Coturnix japonica: one gene and its partner. The protein of the gene in region 1 interacts with the protein of each later gene in a biochemical or structural test. Links are inferred from orthologs where the notes say so. Each region holds a gene or a part of one and is shown on either strand. Other genes may lie near its edges.

Evidence for each region.
Region 2: the proteins of GJD2 (region 1) and LNX2 form a complex in vitro, tested with the Homo sapiens proteins (2 studies listed by BioGRID and IntAct, with this or other methods). The link is inferred for Coturnix japonica from reciprocal best matches to the Homo sapiens genes GJD2 and LNX2.

The regions. Positions count from the first base shown.
Region 1 is NC_029520.1:29,115,706-29,123,698, forward strand, and holds the start of GJD2 (gap junction delta-2 protein), read left to right. Parts: upstream 1-3,328; 5' UTR 3,329-3,798; coding exon 3,799-3,869; intron 3,870-4,334; coding exon 4,335-5,178; 3' UTR 5,179-7,993. UniProt on the Homo sapiens protein: One gap junction consists of a cluster of closely packed pairs of transmembrane channels, the connexons, through which materials of low MW diffuse from one cell to a neighboring cell.
Region 2 is NC_029516.1:157,602,970-157,610,400, forward strand, and holds part of LNX2 (ligand of Numb protein X 2), read left to right. Parts: intron 1-1,193; coding exon 1,194-1,340; intron 1,341-2,904; coding exon 2,905-3,082; intron 3,083-4,601; coding exon 4,602-4,833; intron 4,834-6,485; coding exon 6,486-6,644; intron 6,645-7,431.

The DNA of each region.
Region 1 (7,993 bases):
TGGTCAGCCCTGTATTTGAGGAATGCATAGCCTGAGAGATTTGTTGGCCTCCCAGCCTTTTGCAAAACCAAATCAGGGCAAAAGGGCTGGATTTCTTAGAGAGAATCTGTCCTATCTCTTCTTAGAGACAGATTAACCTCAGTTTGGCATCTGAACTGAGGACACACACAGTCTCATTCTCCAAATCTAATCCAAGATCAGCTCCATCTGTATTATGTTAACATGAATTAATATTGAGGCAGAGCCATCTTTGAATACATGTGGAGGCTGGAGTTCTGATTTCATTTTGGAAAGGTTGTTTGAGCTCGGTTATTGTTTTGACTTTGGTATGGGGAGTTCTTTTTGCTGGTGTGAGGTTTGTGAGGGTTGTGTTATGAATGCTGAATTTAATCTGCAGACAAATAGTCATTCTCTTCAAATGCAGAGCAAACCAAATATAAATACATCCTCAGCTCCAAAGCCTGCACTTGGGAGTGTGAAGCCATCTTTATTTACTTTTTATACAGCTAACAAATATGTGGAACTGGACAGGACTGGCCCTGTTTTTTTCAGTAAGAAATGATTATTTGTAAGCCTTGAGCTTTGTATAATTTAAAGTGCTGATAATCCTGAGTGCTTGTGAATGTAATACGTGCGTGATTTTATAATGTGAATATCACACATGATGCAGATGCTTCAGTAGCATTCTTACTAGTCTACTCATCTGCAAATCATAGCTTTATCATGGACTGGAGTATTCAGGGAAACAACGAAAAATCTAATAACCCCAAGAAGCTGAAGATCTTCTTAAGTCTACTATTCAAACTTCAGATACTTTGTAATTTAGGTATTTGTCAGGTGTATGGAAAACTGGTAATCACAGCCTGAACCTCTACTTAATCAGCTGAGGCAAGTGTCGGGTCAGCTGTGGGTGCACAGGTGAGAGTAATTCAGCTGTGCTCCCGGAAGGGGTGAAGCTTGACTCCACCTTCCCTAGACTTCATTTAAGGGCTGACCACCATTAAGGCAGCATCTCTTTGAGGTTGCTTCTTTGTGGAGAGTGGGTAGTCAGCCTCAGCATTTTTCAGCCAGACTGAAAGCATCCATATTGGTAAGTTTTCCCTATGGATAACCTTTTGAATATCTATTACCATCTTTTCTATTATTCTACCTTACAGTCAGGCAAGTCCGTGGGTTGCTGTTGCCCATGTGGTGAATAAAGGGAATGTTAATAATTACTTTCCATTCACTTAAAATGTGTGTTAGCATCAAGAAACACTCAGATTGTAATTATTATCTTTTTGCCCACTTTCACAGAGATCTGAAGTCCACAAACAGTCAAGTGTAAAGACAAGCATCCAGTTTGTGAATAAGGTGATGATGTGGCATATGAAGCTACTGTTAGAAAAGGAAAGGTCAGCTGTTTTAGAATGAGTTACAACTCCCTGACCTGAAATATTTAACTTTAAAACACACATAAGCAAAGTATATTTCATATCAGCGTTTACATATCTGTAACATTCATTTACGTTACTTCCCCTTTATGTTTCTACAAGTGGGCTACCACCAATAAGTAGATCTCATAACAAAGAGCAAATACTGGTTAACTGATTACCAAAAGCTCAGTGTACGGTTTGATCAGAATTTGATTCCTGTTTGTTTACTGGTCATAAAAACTCAGATATGTATGTTTTCTATCCTGAGGCTACTTAACAGCTTCCCTTTGTAGAAATGCATATACTTGACTGTGGACCAAAATCTCCTCTGTGCTCTTCAGTAATTTCTGTCAAGGTCTTTCTCTCTCTGGTTCTCCAAATAGGATTATCATCATTAGCTTATTAGCATACTCCCTGCCCTCTCTCCTTCTGCACATGCATTACTGCTTCCTTTCTTGTTTTGATCTCTGTTGTTTTCAGATGCCTCTCCACAGAGATACTTTGTGGCCCTAATGAAAAACTTTATGGCTGATAGATACTGCAGTCCTTTTAAAACAAAAGGAACAACTTTTTTTTTTTTTTTCTTTCTTTATGTTGCTGCAGCAGCAGGTTTTACAAACACATGCACATACTGCAGGAGGTGTGAGTTTCAGGTTTAAAGAAGGATGTTGTCAGGATTTAAGGAAAAGCAATGGTGTTGGAAAGAAACAATCCAGATTACTTCTTAACATCCACTTGATTGGATAAGACAAAAAAATCTGAAATTTTCTCTGCAAATAGAGGCATTCATTGATCTTCTCATATTTGACATTTCCCCATTTCGAAGGCTTAAGGATCCAGTCAGGAAATGGACCCAGTAACATGAATCAGGGACCATATGCACACATCAAAGGAAAAGGCAAATTTTAAGGTGTCTGAAACACACCAGTGTCCTGTACATTGATGAAGCTTGGCTCCATATATTTAGAGAACGCTTCTCATCATTAGCACAACACATTTTTTTTCATGAGAGAGCTGCAAATTAAAGAGGACCATACTGTTTAGAGTGGCCTAAACCATTCTGCTTTGGAAGAAGACTGATTTTACTGAGTTTGGCAGCAGGAATGCTGATCAGATTGATTTGAATTTTTCTTATGTTCATTTTAATAAGATCAGTTGAGCAGGTAAAAAGCTATACTTTATGGAAATGTAGAGAACACACTTTAGGATTCACCACCAGGGAAGAGTCAATCCCAGCAGGTGTCAATGTTTGTCTGAAATTGTTTGATAGTGTCTCAAATACAGTCTCTAAGGGTTGCCATAAAATAAAAAAATATTTAAAACATATTGTAATGATTTTGGGGAATATGTAAATGTTTTATAATGAAGGGATGTCTTTATTCTCATGCTGTTTGGAGATGTTTTGAATGAAGGTTTGGTGTCTTTTCTTGCTTAAATCCAATCTCAGAATTCTCTGAAATGGCTATATATGTTCACTTCTTAGTGATTCTTGTATTATATTTGTGATCAGAGGAAAATTAAGGCACAGCTTTAAGACCAGTATCCCCCAAAGGTAAGCAGTTGTATTAGTTGAGATTGCTGCTGCATGACACTGCTGTTCTCTCAAGCCCGGGAACTCTCAGAGCCCCACAGCTCCCGACTCTGCAGTCAGGCACAGGGGCACAGCACCCCGGAGTAGCAGCCGCGGGCCAGTGCCGGTTCCCCGGGGTACTCTCCCTTGGGGTCCTACCCCAAAGGTGGGGAGGTGGCCGGAATGACCTGGCCGCGACCGGGAAGGGCTCTGGTCGGGCGACTAGCTGCTCGCTGGCGAGGGGAGCCTCGTGGCGGCTGGGCCAGCTCTTTCTCCGCCTCCCTCCTCCTCATTTATTTACTTCATTTGTTTTATCTCATTTATTTATTTATATTCACGGGAATAATAAAAAATGAGAAAATCCGAGCTCTGCTTTTGGCTGCTCTCCACCAACCTGTCAGTGACGCAAGCGGAGACTACTTAAAGGCAGATTAGAGGCAGCAAGACATTAAAAGCCAACCTTCCTCCCTCCTCGGCGCGGGTCCGCCGCGGCACGAGCTGAGTGGTCCGGGCCGGGCTCGGCCGCCGCGGGGCCCCGAATAGAGTCGGGCCGAGCCGAGAGTCCTCGGAAGGGCTGCCGCGTCCAGCTGCCTTTCTACTACCGGACTGCAGGCGGTAGAAGGGGGTTTCTCCCGTTTGTTTTTTTTATAATTTTTGTTGTTGCTGTTGTTGTATTTTTTTTTCTTTCTCCACCCCTTGCAACACAATAACAAAAAGAAAAAAAAAAAAAAAGTGGGGGGAAGAAGAAAGGGGTAGGAAGAAGTGAAGAGATCCCCTCCGCTTGCCAAAGTCTTTGTCTCCGGATGAACAGCGATGGGGGAATGGACTATTCTAGAGAGGCTACTGGAAGCTGCCGTGCAGCAGCACTCTACTATGATAGGGAGGTAAGGGCGACGGGGTGCTGAGGGGGGGAGCGCGGGGTTGCCCAGCTGCCGAGTCCTGGCGGTGCGAGCAGACTGCGCGGGGCTCCTGCCGTGCGCGCCTGGAGACTGCCTGTGTGCGGGCGGAGCGGGCACGGAGCCACGGCACAGGACGCGGAGACACGGCGCTCGGCCCGACCTCGAGGAGTAGGGGGGCTGCGGGCAGACACTGAGGGAATTCCGCCGCTACAGCGGTCCCGTAGCCGGAGCCCTTCCGCGCCTCTCTGCGCATTCTGCAGCTGAGGCCCTCGCGGTCGCTGTTGTTTCTCCCAGAGGGGCCGGGGCAGCTCCCAACAGGAGCTGGGGCTGGCGGCGAGGCACGGCCGCTCCCCGCCGCGCCGAGGCGATACCGCACCGGCTGCGGAGCTCCGGGACGATCAGCACTGGACAGCTCCCGGTCGCGCGCACTGACGGGCTTCTCTGTTCCAGGATCCTGCTGACCGTGGTGGTGATCTTCAGGATCCTCATTGTGGCCATTGTAGGGGAGACGGTGTACGATGACGAGCAAACTATGTTTGTCTGTAATACGCTGCAGCCAGGCTGCAACCAGGCTTGCTACGACCAGGCTTTCCCTATTTCTCACATAAGGTACTGGGTGTTCCAGATCATCATGGTGTGCACTCCCAGCCTGTGCTTCATAACATACTCTGTTCATCAGTCTGCTAAGCAGAGGGAACGGAGGTACTCCACTGTCTTCCTCACCTTGGAGAGAGACCAGGATTCAATGAAGCGTGAGGACAGTAAGAAAATCAAGAACACTATTGTCAATGGGGTGCTGCAGAACACTGAGAACTCCACCAAAGAGGCAGAACCAGACTGCTTAGAAGTGAAGGAGATCCCCAATCCTGCAATCAGAACTACAAAATCAAAGATGAGGAGGCAAGAAGGCATTTCTCGATTTTATATCATCCAAGTGGTCTTTCGAAATGCCCTAGAGATTGGATTCTTAGTGGGACAGTACTTTCTGTATGGATTCAATGTCCCTTCCATGTACGAATGTGACAGATACCCTTGCATTAAAGAAGTAGAGTGCTATGTCTCTAGACCCACTGAGAAGACTGTGTTCTTAGTGTTCATGTTTGCTGTCAGTGGCATTTGTGTGGTGCTCAATTTGGCAGAACTGAACCACCTGGGCTGGAGAAAGATCAAAATGGCAGTGAGAGGAGTACAGGCAAAAAGGAAATCCATATATGAAATCAGAAATAAGGACCTGCCAAGAATGAGCATGCCTAACTTTGGCAGGACTCAGTCAAGTGACTCAGCTTATGTGTGAGGCTGTGACAGAACTGAAACTTGGTGCCAGGTGGAACAGACCCAGACACTATTAGAGAAAGGTACATTGCTTAGGCAAGCATTTTATCAAACCACCAAGAAAGCCATTAAGGTATTGGATCTGCACTTACTGAACTAGCTGCAGAAATGCAGTGCTATGTAAAAGACTGAAAAACAAACAAACAAACAAACCACAAAACAGCTATAAAACCATGCTTGATCTAGCCTTACAGCTACTATTATTACTAATTTTCTTTCTAAAGATTGAATGCTATCTGTTGGTGGAGTGGCTTTTTGGTCATCATTAGGATGAGTTTACAGTTCGGACTGTCTGACTGATCTTTGTAAACATGTAGAATGTTCATATTAAAAATCTGCAAGGATACTCTATGTGGGGTGGGATGGGGTGGGGTAAACTGTTACAATGTGCAGATGTAAGCATGTTTTAAAAGGAGGGTAATTGCACTGTGACCACAGATCTATCAGGACATCTGCTTTCACCTATCTCAGATGTCTGATGTTATTTTGCTAGTCTGCATCACAGAGTTCTTCCTGGTGTGTATTACTAGCTATTTTCTAACATAGTTTGTGCATCATCTAGTTATGCTAAACAATAAATGCTGGATATAATTTTGCCATTTATTGTTTGCCTGTCCTCACACACCAGAGTCCTTAATCATCTTATTTTAGTTGTGATCTAAAAAATATAACAGCACATTTCAGTTCATTCCCTGATATGTGCATGAATAAGATGGAGTTGGTTCATGCTGGCCAAGTTACATACTTACCTACAGTTACCTACGGTGACATACATACCAAAGGAACAGAGTTCATTGCTTTTAACTGTGATTATATCACCTTCTCTCTGCTCTTATTTGTATAAGTGCCATACTTGAAACATCCAACTCTGTACTTAATCAGAAGGTTGTTTTGGAATACCAGTTGTAATAAAGTGATTTTATACTCTCCTTTATTTCTTTTATGCTATTTGTTTAGTCATTGCAGTGGTGTAAAAAGCAGCTAAAATCTCTATTCATAAATAAAGTATTTGCCTTTTTTTTTGTAAGCCAGAGAGGTTTGTTCTTCTTTATTATTGTATACAGTTGTGGAAATATACAAAGTCAAAATAATTGACTTATAAATACTCTTCAGGGTTTAAAGTGTCTTGTTTATATTCTGAACTCTAAGTGACAAAACCTGGGAAATCAAGACTATTCATTATGTCCGTTTTCCTCTTAAGCAATAATTTTCTGTCTTTAAAGCCTGATCCAAAGCCCACTGACACCAACAGCCTTCACTCTGCTGACACTAAGGGCAACACAGTTGGCTGCCAAGGTCACTCTGGAAATAGCAGGGTGTGTTTACCTTGAAAATGAAACAATTGCAGCTTTTCATCAGGGAATAGTAACCTCAGCTTTTCTGCTTTACAGCTGATTCAAGAAAGACACTGTTCCTGTCCCCTCGACTTACTGGTAAGCCACTGGGGCAGTCAGAAAGAAATCTCTATTAATAGCAATGATTTTAATATAGGGTACAAAGATTTGCTTACGGACCATACCTAATTCCCAACGACTTTGACAGAGGGTATCTCACTGGCAACAGTAGGACTTGGATCAGGATTCAAAAACCATAAGATTTCATTCTTAACTAAGTGTTATCTGCACTTTAAAGAAAAGTGCCCAAATGGTGATGGAAAAATTGGGGATACTTTATAATGCATGAAGGAGATGAGGGTTTAGAGCTACAAATGGCCTTTTGATTGTATTTTATTTCAAGCCTGACTATGGATTTTATTATACTTTGTCCTGGAGATAGTGCATATAGATCTTTTCTTTATGGATTACAGTAAATATTTCAACATTTAATTCTTTTTGCTTGCCAGTGTTGAAAACAACAACAGCAACAAAAAACCCTCGCACACAATAAAAACCAAACCACAGAAGTCATTAGCTGTTAGATAGTGTATTCATTATCATTTTCGCTTATAGGCTTTTTTCTTCCAAAGTGAAAAAAAAATACTTTGAAATGTGTCATGTTTTTAAAGATTTTAAAAATCTTTTTCCTTATGTAAAAAAATAAATTTTTTACAGTTTGATTATAGAAGATCATAAAATGGACTTATCAAATGATTCTGTGCAGTATAAATGCTCACTGATATTGCTAGTTGACTGCATGTTCACTGGAAAACTGCCGGTTATTTTTAGAAAGGCAACATGGCAGCTAAAATCTCCATCTGCAATATAACAAGCTTCTAAAGATTACTATTTGACACACAAATCCAAGCCTGATCTTCATTTTGTGGATTTGTGGGTTGTTCTGCAAATTCACCTTTTGAATTTATATTGAACTGGAAAATGTTTGACAGTCATAAGGATTGTTTTAAAGTTGAAGAAATAGGAGATTTTGTGCAAAAGACTTGATCCATTGCCAATTAAAACTGAAGGAAAAAATTCATGCTGACTTCACTGGGCTTTGGTTCAGGTTCAGCTTGATTTCCTGTCAGGCAGAAGAGCTAATGCAGGTTATTTCTTGTAGATGCATAGCCAGTGTTCAATCAGACTCGAGTGAAGGTGCGCATCTTGATAGCTGTAAGGTTTTAATGCTTAAAATTCCTTTGCATATGACACAGAAATGATCTGTTTATAACAGTCAGAGCCAGTGACTCAGTTCATTCAATTACTTTATGCAGTTGCACATTTTGTACTTCAGTAAGCTGGGATTCTTCAGAATTTTCATAATAGAAATATATAGGGAAATACAAATGTTGATTTATTCAATAGTATCAGTGATAAAGAAGGCAAAGGCTCATAGTTTGA
Region 2 (7,431 bases), on another chromosome or scaffold:
CGTTGGTAGACCCAAATGGGACAGCAAATTGCCAGACTTCATGGAAGCAACAGACAGCCGCTAGGAACAAAAAGTCAATCTTCTATTAACCTAGTGTAGTAAAATTCATTTCCTGAGCATTAGGGAAGCGCTATTCCGAATGACTGTCTCTGCTCTGTACACAGAGATTACCCAAAGCATGATGCAGTCAGACACATGAGCCCTACCTGTTCCTGTAGGGAAAAACTTCACTGCACACCTTCCTCCAAATCTGTAAGGAAACAGCTGCAGCATGTGCTGCTTCCTTCTGATGGGATGTTGGCAAAAATGCTCCAGTTTTGATGAAGTTGGGATAGACCAGTAGCAGGTTCTTGCGGTCTAGCACAGTTAATTGCATTTGCTTAACTTAAAGTTCCAATACCAAATGAGAACCACAGTTCAAATGAACAGAAAATATATGTTTCAGGAATCATTTTAAGAGCTTCCGTTGTAGTTAAGAGGAAAATAACAATGATTTGGGGGGTTTAACGCTTGTTTCTCAGTTTCTGGATACAATGAAATGGTCAGATTTTACAACAGGTAACTTGTATCTCTTGTGTTTTTGCAATAATGGAAAGAGCTGATATTTCATTTAATATCTCATATCTGAGTCTCCTGATATTCCCAGATCTCTAGGATTTAATGATCTGCTCATATGTAACATCTTTCTCTGAAGTCTTTGAGAAACAGAACGTTCAGAACTTCTGACTAAAATCTGCAGATCCCAGGTTGATCATGAGCTGAAACCAGGCTCCACCCATTTAGAATCATAGAATTACCCAGGTTGGAAAAGATCTTGAAGATCATCAAGTCCAACCGCAGCCGAACCAGTACCCAAACTCTAAAAACCCTACACTAAATCATATCCCTGAATACCACATCCATACGGCTCTTAAACACAACCAGGGATGGCGATTCAACCACCTCCCTGGGGAGCCTATTCCAGTACCTAACTACCCTTTCTAGTACCTAACTACCCTTTCTTTTTCCTGTGAAGCGGATGTAACATCAGAAGTAAAGGAATGCTGGTATCCCCTCTAATCCAGGGGGAATTGCAGCAAGAAGACTGAGAAGTTTGCGGCACCTCTGGGAGCTGGAAAAACAAGTTCTGCTGACTTATTATTTCATTATGTCTATCCTACAGACTTCTTTATTTTGTTTTATATATTTGACAGGCTAGTGGGGAGAGAGTGAATTTGATCATCTCTAGACCCATGAAGTCGCAGACGGTCAGTATTATCCGAGACACGGGGACTCACAACAGCAACCCACACCAACACCAGTCCCAGCAGCTGTTTCACTGCAGACCCAACTCACATAAGGTTGGTGGCATTCAAGAGTGTTTGTGTTTCTACCACTGTGCTGACTGCAACCAGCAAGGACAGGACATGCAGTGTTTAGTACACAGCATATAAAGGTCTTGTTGAAGGATGTGTTCTCTCCTCCATGAGCCAGCAGTGCTGACTGCCAGACTACAGAATGGGAGAGAAAGGCAGAATGAAGAGATTTTCACAAAGCTAGTATCAGATTATCTGTAAGACTGTGCTTGAGTTCTAACTACTTCCTCTTGTTAAACCAATATGACATCTTACTATTCAGATTCTGTGAAGTAATTGCCCTGTTGACCATGCCAGTCAATCCACCTTTCCTCCCATCCAGTCTTTTAGCATCAGTGTCTAATGTCACCCTTCTACTGGGAGGATTTACATGTGTTGGTAGTATTTTCTTTTAAAGGTTGAGTTACTATCTTTATTTCTCTCTTATTAATCTGTAGTTGGCATAGAAGTCTTTTGTCTTAATACAAAGTTTATGTAATTGTGTGGCACCTGCCAGTTAGGCCTGAAGACTTAAGGAGGAGCTGTCTTCAGAAGCTATGAGTTGTATATTATGTGATTAACATGAACGTGCAAGGAGCAGAATCAGAAGAGGCGTGTGGCGTTGAAAGTAAAGGAAAGCAGCGCTTCCTTTTTCTAATAGAAAGCAGGGGAATAAAGAAGTGTTTGTACTTGGAAGAATCTTCCAGGTTATTTCTTCCATTATTTTGGATTCTTTCTGAGCATTTTGTTGATTTAAGATGTTATTGCAGGTGTGTGTGCAGTGATTTCAGTGTATCGCTAAATAAACCGAAAAGGAAAGTTTTGAGCAAGTGAAATAAACTTTGATTCATGTCTAAATCCTTAGATAGGGAAAACTAAATATGCGCTAAACTTTAGAATTCATGTGTTAGGAAATGAAATATTCTTGTTTTGATTCAGGTTTGGGGTATCATTATGGTTATTAGGGAGCCTGCACAAAGCTTCTATTAGCAGCCACATATAAGCATTATTGACTTTAGCTACTCTGTGCTCCGAGAGAGGCTGCATACCAGATGTAAAAACAAACATGACATAGGAGGTTTTAAATGGCCTCTCTGTGTGACTGTGAATACATGTGTTTTCATTTCTTATGGGGCTTCTTTGTAGTTGCAGGCCATGTTCTTACTTGTGAGTGAGGTAATGCTGATGTTCACTAAGACATCAAAAGATTTGCTTCTGTTTGGTTTCTTGACTTTTGGCCATATGATTTCATAGCACAGTCTTAAAATATAGCCTATTCCTGTGTAAGAGCTAAAAGAAACTTGAGTGAGATTTTCAAGGATGGCCTTCGTCAACTTTCTGTCTACACTTCAGCATCTACATCAGTAGCTTTTTATTTTTTTCTGACCTGGAGGAAATCCAACTAAAGCCAATTTGCGGTACAGACTTTTTCCTTTAAACCATTCTGTTAAAGCACCAAAGCACAGCTTTGAGGTGCCCTTAGTTGCGTTCTGTTCTGTTTGGGTTTTTTGGTGTGTGTTGGGTTTTGTTTTTCAGAGCTTTAACTACATTGTTTATTCTTGTCAAACAGGACCTCTCCCAGTGTGTTACATGCCAAGAAAAGCACATTACTGTGAAAAAAGAGCCACATGAATCTCTTGGAATGACAGTGGCAGGAGGCAGAGGCAGCAAAAGTGGCGAGTTGCCCATTTTCGTGACAAGCGTACAGCCCCATGGGTGTTTGGCAAGAGATGGCAGGATTAAACGAGGTAGGGCTTGGCTTTCCTGGTGCCATGGATGACCTCCAATTGTTTTTTGATGAGTACATTCACTGAAATCACGGGGTGTCATAAAACCTTTTAACGAATGTAACAAAGCAATGATGGATGTTTGTGTTTCAGTAGTGGAAATACAGTATTTAGTATCACACTTCCACCTTTTCTAGGAAAGGGATGTTTAGAGAATGATAGCGGGGAAGTGGATGAGATCAGGAAATGTCTGGTTACATTCTTTACAGCTGACTGTAATCCCCTGAGCTGAGTGTCTCATGTGATGGTTTGTACTTTAGTGCACGCATCCTGTTTTTGTGTTTCATTTGGTGGGGTGGGCTCCTTTTCTGCTGGAGGAATCCTCCCTGTAATATCTGAACAGCTCACGTGTTCCTGATGACAAGTAACCTACGTGGAGATTACCCTCAAGGCTTCATCTGTAGTGACCATAGAACCTAAACGTTACCTTGTCCTTTGTCCAGCACAGCCTGGTTTTGCTGTTTTTCAGGTGTGCTGCAACAACCACCCCTGTTCCTCAGCTTTGCATAAGGATACAGGGAATGTGGATACAAAGGTTAGACACAGGATAGGAGAGCACAGTCCTTACTGATTAGCAGCTAAGCATTGGTGATTAGAATGTATTGTGCCATATGTGAAACAAACACCGTGTATGGGACCTTGGCAATTCAGAATTCACAGGATTTCAAATTGTTTTAGGAACTAAATTTAGAAGGAGGGGGGGCAGAACTTCAGAAATTGAAACTGAAAAATGACTGCATGGGAACCTCCTTCTGTGCTTCTGAGATGGGGAGATTTACACCCACATACCACAGTATGCTCATGTGAAAAATACAACTGGTGGAAGAATCACAATGATAGTTTTGTCCCGTAATAATAAAGGAGCCACAAAAATGGTTTTAAGTTGTGCTTCACCTCATCTTTAGCTTTCCTTGGGAGGCAAAAGCTTTTAAGAAATGAGTCTCATTCCAAATGTGGCTCAGGTGTTCACATGTTTGCTTTGTTTTTCCTGGCTTTCATCAGAAAGTGAGACACTGTGTGGAGGAGGAGACTCTTACAGCTTGAACAGTAAATTACATTTTTGTTTTCACCCTGAGGCATTCTGATATTACTCTGAAATAAAATAAAAACTGTGGCTATTTTTTTACTGTCTTGGACTCTTTCCAGATTATTACCTTTGCACAGATGCTCATTTTTCCTTCTGACGGATTGGATTTTGCACCAGCCTTTCCAGTTGTTTTTGTATTCATTTTTTGTTCTCCTAAACTGCAAACTCAGAAAAACCAAAACCTAAAAAGCTCTGTGGAGCTTCACTTGTCTATAAGATATAGTTGTGGTGCCTGAATTGTAGCTAATTGAGCTAATGTTGCTATTCACATTCCCAAGTTGTTTGTTCAGATTGTCTTGGCTCCAGAAGATTACAGTATGAGGTGAAATCCTGATCAGAGAGGTACTATAGATCATGACAGGCTGTTGTGTTCTTATTTGTGCCTCTAAACAGGTGATGTGTTGCTGAACATCAATGGCATCGATCTGACTAACCTCAGTCACAGTGAGGCGGTGGCCATGCTGAAAGCCAGTGCTGCCTCCTCGGTAGTTGCCCTGAAAGCATTGGAAGTCCAGATCGTAGAAGAACAACCCCAGGCCAATGAAGAACAGTTGAGTACCATCAGTGAAAATGAATACGATGCCAGTTGGTCACCATCATGGGTCATGTGGCTGGGACTCCCAAGGTACTGAATTAATTAATACAGTAATTAGTTATCTGTTTTAAACTTAAGTCGGAGAGAAATACAAAAGCGGAGACATTACTAGCTGCAACACGTCTGCCTTTATTTCTGCCTGCCTAACCAGTTCAATTGTACTCTATTTGCATTGTGCTCATGATGAGGACCATGAACAGGAGCAGTGTTCTCTTAGGAAACTGGGAGGTGAAGAGACTCAGTTTATCCCTTCAAAAACAATAGTAGCTACTCACATGAATTCTTCTCATTTAATAAAACTCATCTTTTCCATTGCTTAACTGTATCATAGTTTCCAGTAGAGTATCTAAAATCAGAGAGATAATTAATAACAACACAAAGTATTTATCCATATGTCTTTGTGATGGTTTACTACATAAATTTACAAGGAAAAACATACAACTTTGGAATATTGGATCAGACTTTCCATTCTCATACTTTTAACATAAATCTCTTCCACACGAGCCTGGAGTTACAAATCCTCATTTATTTCTTTTCAAAAACCCACTTACCGTCTCTGCCAAACACGAAATCTCTTCCAGGTTTGCAGCTCCCTCCCCATTCCTAATCTGCAGTCTGCTTGACATCATCGTGCTTCATTTTTACTGTTCTGTTTTTCAGTTTCTTGTGGCTTCATTCTGGCATTGCTCACAAGGAGAGCTCGCACTACAGTGACTAGTGCGGGTAACTTCAGGCAGTGTTCAGGCTACTTCCTCTCCTACTGATGGACTTAACCAAGCTCGGGCCTGTAGTTGAAGTATAAAATAACAAAAATAAACAAGCATACTGGTGGCAAAATATGTCTGCAGATAACAAATATGTCTGAATATAACAGAACTATGAGTTATCCAGTGTGTCAATAAACTGCTTTCAGCTTTGGAAATGTACTTACTTTCCATGCCTTAGTAGTGATTTACTCCTTAAATACTATGGAAGATGATGTGTTGCTCCCATGTTACTCATTCTGCTGCTTCTCTTTAAAGAGTATTGTATATCAGTGAAGAACTTTGCATCATTATTGCCTGGAAGTTAATTTCTAGGGTTTTTTGTTTGTTTCTTTGCTTGTTTTAATTACGGTCACTATTTCACTGGCAAGAATTAATTTTCATGAAGGAAGTTATTACATACACCAGTACAGTTAGTGGAGCATGATCTGGATTGTTTACCTGCCACATATCAAAATGGTTAATCATTGGTGTTTTCATTACTGATGGTGAATCAGTTCAGAGGTAGAGAAGGTCACACATGAACTACCAAATCTGTACTTAAAGTAGGAAGATGTCTAAACCGACTGGAGGTGGAAGAAACATGCACTTCATTTTTGACTTGCAAAGTAAATAGGTTGGATATACGTTTTCCACCCACATTCTCACCACCTGTGAAATCCTTATAATGCCATTTTAGTACTGTCAGTTTACAGAGTTAAGTAATTATTCTAGCTTTGCATTATTCCTTTTTAAACATATTTATGTCTGAAAAATGTGGATTTTTTTTTGCAATCAGTTTGGATATTGCAAAATTACCCTGTCCGTGGGCAGCATAGCAGCGCTGATGTGAGAGAGCAGGTGTTGTTCCTGGTACAGAAACACCTACACGTGGTACACACAGCTTTTCTCTTGCTGTCCTGTGCTTCCATTCCACAGCTGCCTGCATAGCTGTCACGATGTAGTGCTGCGACGGAGCAATTTGGGAAGCTGGGGTTTCAGCATTGTCGGTGGCTATGAGGAGAACCACACAAACCAGCCTTTCTTCATTAAAACCATTGTCCTTGGAACTCCCGCGTACTTTGATGGAAGATTAAAGTAAGTTAAAACATAAGTAATAGTAATCATCAACAGTTGAAAATAAGCACATGCTAGTGCAAGTAAAAGCTTCATGAACGGTAGGGTAGCACCTGGTGCAGCCCATTGGTTTTATCCTTTCATAAAGCTTACTGAAACCACTGCTGAAAACCCTGGTACTAAAAAGCGATGTTGCTGCTTTAATATAAAGGTGCGAAAGTAGATGAAAAAGTCAGTATCTCTGAAGATATCATCAAGGAACAGTGCCCTGATTTTTTGGCTGGCAGGAAAGGCATGGATAAATGGAGTGAGTTCAGCAGAGGCCGCTAAGGTGGTGTACCCTTGTGTGGCCTTAAAGATTAAATGATTCTACTTACACTCTACACTTGGATGTAATTTCCAGATCTACTTTTCATACTATGCATTTGCATAATGTAGGATTATTTCAGAATTAGGATTTAAAATTCCTACTAAAGAGTCTCTTGTTCATAAACGGATATCTTTTGTAAAGGTGGAGTGAAAAATATGCCCTGGATTTGTGAACATTATGTGGCTTGAAGTTTTATGACGTGATTTTTACATGTTAGATTTACTTACATGGTAACCTAAGAAAAACGCGTGCTTATGCGTAGAGCCTTGCCAGTAATTGATTTTTTGGCTCAATGACTAAATAAATAAATGAAAAAAAAAATAGTTTGGTTTAACACAAAATTACATATTTTTTTTTGGCCAACTATGAAACCAGTTTGGATTAAATGAAAGATTTCAGTTCAGTCTAAAGTAAATAATTTCAGATTGGGAAATTAAT